Linked DNA regions of Oryctolagus cuniculus. The protein of the gene in region 1 purifies or fractionates together with the protein of each later gene. This does not show direct contact. Links are inferred from orthologs where the notes say so. Each region holds a gene or a part of one and is shown on either strand. Other genes may lie near its edges.

Region 1 (3,801 bases):
CTTTGTTCTTAAGATTTGGTTTCTTTATTTGAAAGCGCAGGGTTTCAGAGATCTTCCGTCCCTTGCTTCGCTTCCCAAATGGTCGCGACAGCTGGGGCTGGGCCAGTCCAAAGCCAAGAGCCAGGAACTCCATCCGAGTCTCCCACATACTTGGCAGAGGTCCTAGTCCTTGGCCCATCTCCACTGCTTCTCCAGCCACATTAGCGTTGGCTGGATTGGAAGCGGAGCAGCCAAGATGGGATGCTGGCGTCTCGGGCTGCGGCTGCACCGCAGCACTGGGCCCAACGTGGGGTAGTGAAGCCTGAGGGTCTGCTCCACTCCGCTCCGTCTGAATGCCATATGGCCGCGAGGTTGAGAGAGTGCCAGTATTTCCTCTCCCTGTGTGGTAACGGGACACCAGCAGGGCACACGGTGGTGCTCTCGGGTCACGTTGGCTGGGCCCGCTTGCTGAGGTGAGGGTTGGTTTGTCCGTTCTTTGGACGAGGAAGCTCAGCACTCAGGGAGGGGCTGGGCGCGAGGACTGAGGACGCGAATGGACTGATGGTTGGTTTTGGACGCAGCTCCTGTTAGATCACCAGGACGCCATCGCCCCGGAGCACAATGACCCGATCCATGAGCTGCTGGACGACCTTGGCGAGGTGCCCACCATCGAGTCCCTGATAGGTAAAGTTCTGAGTCTCTGCACTGTCTCTGGATGTGCAGTGGAAAACAGAGACCACCCCTGTCTGGGAAGGGCTGCAGCCAGCGGGAGGGACGAGGTAAACGTGCAGTCACGGCTCGTCCTGTGACCGGTCCCGGAAGGGGAGGAGGCCTGGGGGAGCGCTGGGCCGCAGCGCCGACACGACTGAAGTTACTTTACCGTGTCTCCTTTGCCTTTATTACCTGGCGTAACATTTTACAAGACCTCTCAGGGAGGTTGCCCTGCCCTGCCGCGTGTGTCGGCTTGGTCGCCTGCCGTCCTCGGCTTGCGTCCTCTTCTGTTTGTGTTCTTTGCCTCCAGCGTCTCCTCTATTGATTCTTTCTGCCCTCCCAAAACTTCAGGGGAAAGCTCTGGCAACGTGAACGACCCGAACAAGGAAGGTCTGGCGAAGACGGAAGTCTCTCTCACGCTGACCAACAAGCTTGACGTCCCGGGAGACGAGAACGCAGAAATGGACGCCCGGACTATCCTGCTGAAGTGAGTATATCAGAAGCAGTGAGAGTCATGGTGACATTGTCCCAGAGGCCCCTTGGCCTTTGGTGACAGGCCCACTGGGTCCGACCTGAAAGGACCATCTCGGCCCCTCACCATCACAACTGTGGTTACGGTTACCTTGCGTATCTTACTCGGCATAGGACTTAACCACCTTGTTTTGCCAGTCTGCTAAAGTGAAGTTTACTGTTGTAAATACTGGCTCTGGGCCCACTCCACTGTACAGTGCAGTTGCATAAATAACCTAGGCCCTGAGTGCCTCGTGCGAGCAGCCGCCCGCTGGGACTCCCTGGGATGATGTTTGTGCCGCCGCCACCGCCGCCGCCGCTGCTGCAGTCACTGAACAGGGAGGGGAGCGCCCGCCAGCTGGTGTCTGAATGCTTCCCTCATCTCATTGCAGCACAAAGCGTTTAATTGTGGATGTCATCCGCTTCCAGCCAGGAGAGACCTTGACGGAGATCCTGGAAACACCAGCCACCAGTGAGCAGGTAGGGTTTGGGTTTGACATACACCACCGTGAAGCGGCTAACTCTCCTGTGACAGGCACGTGCCGGGTAGAGGGAGGCGAGATGGAGTGAGGAGAGCTCCTGGAGCAAGCGTGAACCTGCCCGGAGGATGGGGGTGGTTAGATCTGGTGTGAGCAAGTCCAGAGGAGATAGGTGTTCCTGGGTCTCCAAGCTCCTTGGCTGTCTCCAGCAGAGTGAAAGGGGGCGGGGCGTGGGTCTGTGACTCTAACCCGGGGCAGGATCAGTGAGTCCGTCCTGTAATTGATTGCCTACTGCAGAGTTGGAATTCTGTGTACCTTGGCAGATAGATGGAAAGTACAGAGGATGGTTCCTAAGCTCAGTGAGCTCTTGGCTCTTACTGGGGAAATGTGGCACGTAAACCTAACGCAGTGATAAAACCCATTAGAAATGTAAACCCGAAACAACGAGAAGACCATTAGAAATTAGTGATGGTGTTGACTGTGAAAATGACAGGGGATACAGGAAAGGCCAGGAGCAGCAGTGCTTCAGGAAGATTGCACAAGATGAGCGGGGCCTGAGCCAGACTTGACATGGGATGGGTAGGGCTTGAGTGTGCAGAGGAAGGGCATTCCAGGCCGGAGAGCCTGGCTGAGCCGAGGTGGAGAGGCGGGGAAGGCCCTGTGGCCAGACTACACCTAGAATGCGGTGTGCATGCAGGGGAGCGGTGAGGAACGAGACGTGAGGCAGGAATCTGGCACTGCAGCGTGAGAGCCTTTGGAAGCTTGGGGACCATTAGCAGTGAGGGATTCCAGTGCCACCCCTGCAGATGGCAGTTGGGTCAGCCAGGTGCGTGACACCAGTCCAGAGAAGGGTGCATGGCAGTGGGAAGGGTTGGGTGAGTCGCTTGGCTGCTAAGACACCTGTTTCTCATTGTCGAAGGAGAAAAGTAGTTTCCAGATATTAACCGTAGGACTCCGTTTCATTAAATGAAAACTTAGAAGCCCAATATGGAGAGCAGGTAAAGCTGCAGCTGCTCCGGCAGCTCCAGGACTGGGGCACCTGGAGCCCAGCCCTCGAGGGCTCTGGGAAGCCCCTAAGGCTGCACAGAGCACTGTTTGAAAGCCTCTCAGCCTTTGGATGCCGCACTGATTAGATGCGTGTGGGGGCGAGAACCTGCCTTCCCGTGACTGCAGCGTGCCGACCCAAAGCACGTGTGAGGCAGGGAAGGCGGAGCCGGTCCTTACTGAGAACCTACTGTCGGTTTCTTTTGTCCGTGCTCTTTCCTTTTATCTTGGCGGTATCCCTGTGAGGTGAGTCTTGTCATTCCCGTTCTATAGATAAGGAAACTGAGATCCTTATCCATTAAATAACTTGCCTGAGACCTACAGCTTGTAATGACAGATTCCAGCCCTGCCTGAGTCCAGAGCGTGTGCCCCTCGCATCGTGTGTGCGCAGTAGTGTTGATGTTAGAGGAGAGGGGACGACTGGGGAAGGGGGTTGTTCTAGTTGGGGAGGGATTACACGTTTGACCTGCAGCCACCCCAAACATCCCAAAATGCGGCAACAGAGCCTTAAAGATTGGGGTGGAGATCGTGGAAGCTACTGAAAGCAAGCAGAGACGAATGGCTTTTTTTTTTTTTTTTTAAGATTTATTCACTTTACTTGAAAGTCACAGTTACACAGAGAGAAGGAGAGAGAGAGAGAGCTTCCATCCACTGGTTCACTCCCCATTGGCTGCAATGGCCGGAGCTGCGCCAGTCCAAAACCAGGAGCCAGGAGCTTCTTTCTGGGTCTTCCATATGAATGCAGGGGTCCAAGCACTTGGGCCGTCTTCTACTGCTTTCCCAGGCCACAGCAAAGAGCTGGATTGGAAGTGGAGCAGCCGGAACTCGAACCGGTGCCTGTATGGGATGCCGGCACTGCAGGCAACGGCTTTACCTGCTGTGCCACATCGCCTGCCCCCAGAAATGGCTTTGAGTGCCTTGGAAGTCCCAGCGTAGGCCTAGGGCGGAAAGAGAGTGCAGAGACTGTGAGCCAGGTGATGACTAAGAATAGATGCTGGGTTTGGGAGGTGGGAATGGGGATCATAATTAATGGTGAGAGCTTTAGATACAGAAGCCAGGTTGCAAAGGGTTAAAGAAG
Region 2 (4,420 bases), on another chromosome or scaffold:
GCCCTGGGCCAGAACCCCACCAACGCCGAGGTGCTCAAGGTCCTGGGGAACCCCAAGAGTGACGGTGAGGGGATCCTTGGGACAACGCAGGTTTTTCTGTGGCTAGATGTCGGTAAGGTGACAAAGGATGCTGGGCTGGATCTCGGGACCTGAGAAACCGTCAGACACCAGGCAGAAAAACATCCCGAATGCTGAGCACGATGAAAGGTGGTGTGGGAGGGGCCCCGGCGACATCACACTGACCTGTCTCATGCTTCCCTCCAACCGCCAGAGCTGAAGTCCCGGCGTGTGGACTTTGAGACCTTCCTGCCCATGCTCCAGGCAGTGGCCAAGAACCGGGACCAAGGCTCTTACGATGACTACCTGGAGGGGCTTCGGGTGTTTGACAAGGAGGGAAACGGCAAAGTCATGGGAGCAGAGCTGAGACACGTCCTCACCACCCTGGGTGAGGCAGGGACAGAATTCTATGAGGGCTGGTGGGGGAGTGGGGGAGCAGTGGACCAGGGTAGGCAGAGCCAGGGAGAGGATTACTGCCCTGCTGGGCAGGAGATGGAAGGGCTGGGGACAGGACCTGAAGGGCTGGCGCTTCCAGAGGCTAACGTGCCTCCCACAGGGCAGAGAACGGGAGACAAGTGGGAGACGTGTGCCCGTCACCCCTGGGAGTCAGTTCCCTTGTCCCTAGAAACTCCCATCAGTAGCAAGGCACTTTGTTACGAGTCGAGATGCAAAACAAGAGGCTTTACCGCGACAGCGGGAGGATGTCCTTGGGGGGAGTGGCTCCGAGCAAGTCTCCAGGGTGGGATAAGAGGTGCCACCCAGAAGAGTGTGGCTTGGGCCCCTGAGGGACCGCGCCAGGGCGGGGCTCCAACGCCGCCGTGTCTGGGGTGCAGGAGAGAAGATGACTGAGGAGGAGGTGGAGACTGTCCTGGCGGGACATGAGGACAGCAACGGATGCATCAACTACGAGGGTGAGGGGCCGGGGCGGGAGGGGCCCTTCGGGGGCGGCTGGGCGCACCCTGGGTTACCTAGAGTCGGGCGCGGTGTCCGCAGGCCCGGGTCTGAGGACCCTCTGCCTCCTCTCTCCGCAGCTTTCCTGAAGCACATCCTAAGCGTCTGAGCTCTACAGGTAGGGCCCTGCGACCTGAGGGCCGAGTCTCCCCCGCCTCCCGCCAGCTCAGAAAGCCGCGGACTGCGCGGGCGTCAGAGCTTGGCAACTTTCATTTTTTTCCCACAGATCCCGCGGGGCCAGATACTGATTCCCCCCACCCCCTGCAGGAGGAAGCACGTTCCTGCCACTAGGAGGCCACCTATTGTTTCAAAATAAAGACACGGTTCCTTCCTCGGTCTCAGACTGGTTTTCTTTGTGGGGTTGGAGGGGAGTGACGCCTTTCCCCACTTCCCGGTACCTCATCCTCCGATGTTCTGGGAGTTAGGAGGAGCAGATCGCTGCGCCCGACCCCCCACCCGCTCGAGCGTCTGCGGGCTCAGGTGCGAGCGACCCCGCCCGTCTCATTACTAATGCAGTAATGTAACCGCCCGAGCCCGGGGCGGGGCGCCCATTGGCTGGCCGGCCCGGGGTGACGTCATCAGGGCGTACTAAGACTAGGGTTGGGCCCGGAGCCGGAGCCATTACTGCAGGAAAAGATCCCGCAGAGCTGAGCGGTCAAGATGGTGGGGCCCGGGGCCTGGGAGCCGAGTGGGGTTTGGGACGAGGCGGGCAGCCGGGGGCAGGGGACGAGGAGCAGGCCAGGGTAGCGGGCGAAGGGGATCTGGGTGGGTTGGAAAGCCTGGGGTCCTGGTGCTGCTGGGGAGCGGAGCCCCAGCCTGCAAGAGGAGTTTGTGGGACGGGGATGGAGCATGGGGCGGGGGGGGGGGGGAGGTTGGAGTTCGGGTGCTGACCGCTACCTCTTCTCCGAGCAGTGCGACTTCACCGAGGACCAGACGGCAGGTAGGTCATTCTCTGGCTCCAACTGAGGTCATCTTCAGGGAGAAGGACACTCCCTCTGGCTCCTAACCCCAAACTGTTATCTCTTTACCGCCCCCCACCCCCACCCTCGGGAGAGTATCCCTGGAGTCCCTTCTCCCTTCTTCCGGGTCCTCTGTTTCCTTTTCTCACTTTCTTCCTCACTCCCCTTCTACTCTAGATCTGAGCCCCAAGCACTGGGTGAGTTTTAGGTGTGGGTATGTGGTCACCTAGTGCCTGCTGTGTGTGGGGTTTGGGGAGGGTCTGCGTGCCTCTGCTGTCCCTTAATCACTACATCTGCCTCTTCTCTCCTCCTTTAACTCTCCCTCCCTGCTCTCCCCACCCCCGGCTTGAATCGTGCAGATTGTGAAGGGCAGTGACCTGATTATTTCCCTGAAGTCGGGGACAGGGGAGTGTGCCCAGGATGTGACTATAGTTTTACTCTGCTAAGGTCTTTGTATGGTGGAAGTGGCCAGCTGGGATGACCCAGGTCTTGGGCTGTTGCTCCCACTTCCTTATAAGGACATGACCCAGACTGGGCGGTGGCAAATTCCTGCCCTGAGTAGTGTTTTAGTAGCGGGAGGCTGGCAGGCCTGCTGCAGGCGGAGGGTGTGTGCACATGGATGTTAGCAGACCACCAAGGGGACCGGGTGGCTGATTCTTCATGTGGGACACTTGAGTTGGGAGGAGAAATGGATCCCTCCTGGGACACTTAGTGTAGAGGTATCTGGTTTCCTCAGCTTGATCAGGGCCCTCCCAAGGCAGGGTTCAGGTTAACCCCCACGGCCCCAGTACTGACCTTCATCTGAATCCTCAGAGTTCAAGGAGGCCTTCCAGCTGTTTGACCGGACAGGCGATGGCAAGATCCTGTACAGCCAGTGTGGGGACGTGATGAGGGCCCTGGGCCAGAACCCCACCAACGCCGAGGTGCTCAAGGTCCTGGGGAACCCCAAGAGTGACGGTGAGGGTCGTAGAGAGCAGCCCCACTCCAATTGAGAGCTTCAGAGGCCCCAAGCTCAAGCAAGTCTTGTCTCGATTAGGAAATCCCAGGTTGCCCCTGCTGAGTCTTTTTTTTTTTTTTAAGATGTATTTATGTGAAAGAGTTGGAGAGACAGAGAGATCTTCCACCTGCTGGTTCACTTCCCAAATGGCTAAGAGCCAGGCTTGGGCCAGGCTGAAGCCATGAAGTCAGGAGCTTCTTCAAGGTCTCTCACATGGGTGCAGGGGCCCACACACTTGGGCCGTCTTCTGCTGCTTTCCCAGGCCACAGCAGGGAGCTGGATTGGAAGTGGAGCAGCCAGGACATAACTGACACCCATATGGGGTGTCGATGTTGCAGGCAGTGGCTCTACCTGCTAGGCCAGAGCGCCCACCTCCCACCCCTGGAGTCATTTGCTGACTGTGATCCTGAGAGTTCCCTCCTGAGAGCTCGTGTGACTTCCTGGCCTGACGTCCCCATGCTTCCTTTATGACAGAGATGAATGTGAAGGTGCTGGACTTTGAGCACTTCCTGCCCATGCTGCAGACTGTGGCCAAGAACAAGGACCAGGGAACCTATGAGGATTACGTTGAAGGCCTTCGGGTGTTTGACAAGGAAGGGAACGGCACTGTCATGGGTGCTGAGATCCGCCATGTCCTTGTCACACTGGGTAAGGCTCTGTCCTTGAGCTGAGCTACTCCTACTCACTCTGAGAGACCTCACTTGTCACCCACCTTAAAAAATGCCTCCTTCCCTCTGCAGGTGAGAAGATGACAGAGGAGGAAGTAGAGATGCTGGTGGCAGGGCACGAGGACAGCAATGGTTGTATCAACTACGAAGGTGAGGGGTCACCTGGGGCAGTCACAGGGGTCAGCTTAGGGATAAGACTTGGGGTTTTTCATATCCCTGGACTTGGGCTCCAAGAGGAGCCAGGAGGCAAAGGGCAGGGCTTGGCCTGGCCCAGCCCAGGGGTTGGGGGAGAGGGTCAGGGGGAGGATGACAGGAAAGGAAGGGGGAACGTGGCACGGAGAGTGGGGAAGGAAGGGGACGTAGACTCCACGGGATGTGTGTCCCCCAGCGCCTGACCCTTCACCCGTGTCCGTGTCTTGTCTTCACCACGAATGTCTCTTCCTTCCTGCAGCGTTTGTGAGGCATATCCTGTCGGGGTGACGGGCCGTGGGGCGGGTACGGCTCCTCCCAGCCTCTCCTCTAGTTGATCGCCCCAGTGTCTCTCTCCAGCCTGTGCTCTCGCCCCTGCCCTCACCCTTACTACCATCTGACTTCTGGCATGTTCCTGCATGGAGCTGGCTAGGAGGGGAGGGGTCCTCAAAGAGGAAGACAGCCTGGGGGAATGGTACCTCCTTCCTTCACACCTGGAACGGGCTCTGAAGTTTCGCTTACAGGGCCCTGGGTGCTGGTGACTGGGAACTCTCAGCAGCCAAACACCAGTCTTGCTTTAGGGTGAGCCTTTGGCCCTA

What was found.
Region 2: the proteins of IQGAP1 (region 1) and MYL6 purify together in Homo sapiens (affinity purification with mass spectrometry; 4 studies listed by BioGRID and IntAct, counting the BioPlex papers as one, with this or other methods). This does not show direct contact. The link is inferred for Oryctolagus cuniculus from reciprocal best matches to the Homo sapiens genes IQGAP1 and MYL6.

What each region holds. Positions count from the first base shown.
Region 1 is NC_091443.1:100,724,849-100,728,649, reverse strand, and holds part of IQGAP1 (ras GTPase-activating-like protein IQGAP1), read left to right. Parts: intron 1-560; coding exon 561-663; intron 664-1,041; coding exon 1,042-1,177; intron 1,178-1,592; coding exon 1,593-1,680; intron 1,681-3,801. UniProt on the Homo sapiens protein: Plays a crucial role in regulating the dynamics and assembly of the actin cytoskeleton.
Region 2 is NC_091442.1:58,964,471-58,968,890, forward strand, and holds the start of MYL6 (myosin light polypeptide 6), read left to right. Parts: upstream 1-1,345; 5' UTR 1,346-1,668; coding exon 1,669-1,671; intron 1,672-1,920; coding exon 1,921-1,948; intron 1,949-2,780; coding exon 2,781-2,924; intron 2,925-3,438; coding exon 3,439-3,612; intron 3,613-3,704; coding exon 3,705-3,782; intron 3,783-4,083; coding exon of another isoform or gene 4,084-4,112; exon of another isoform or gene 4,113-4,127; intron 4,128-4,420. Other genes in the region: myosin light chain 6B, read left to right, coding at 1-64, 272-445, 891-968, 1,089-1,117. UniProt on the Homo sapiens protein: Regulatory light chain of myosin. Does not bind calcium.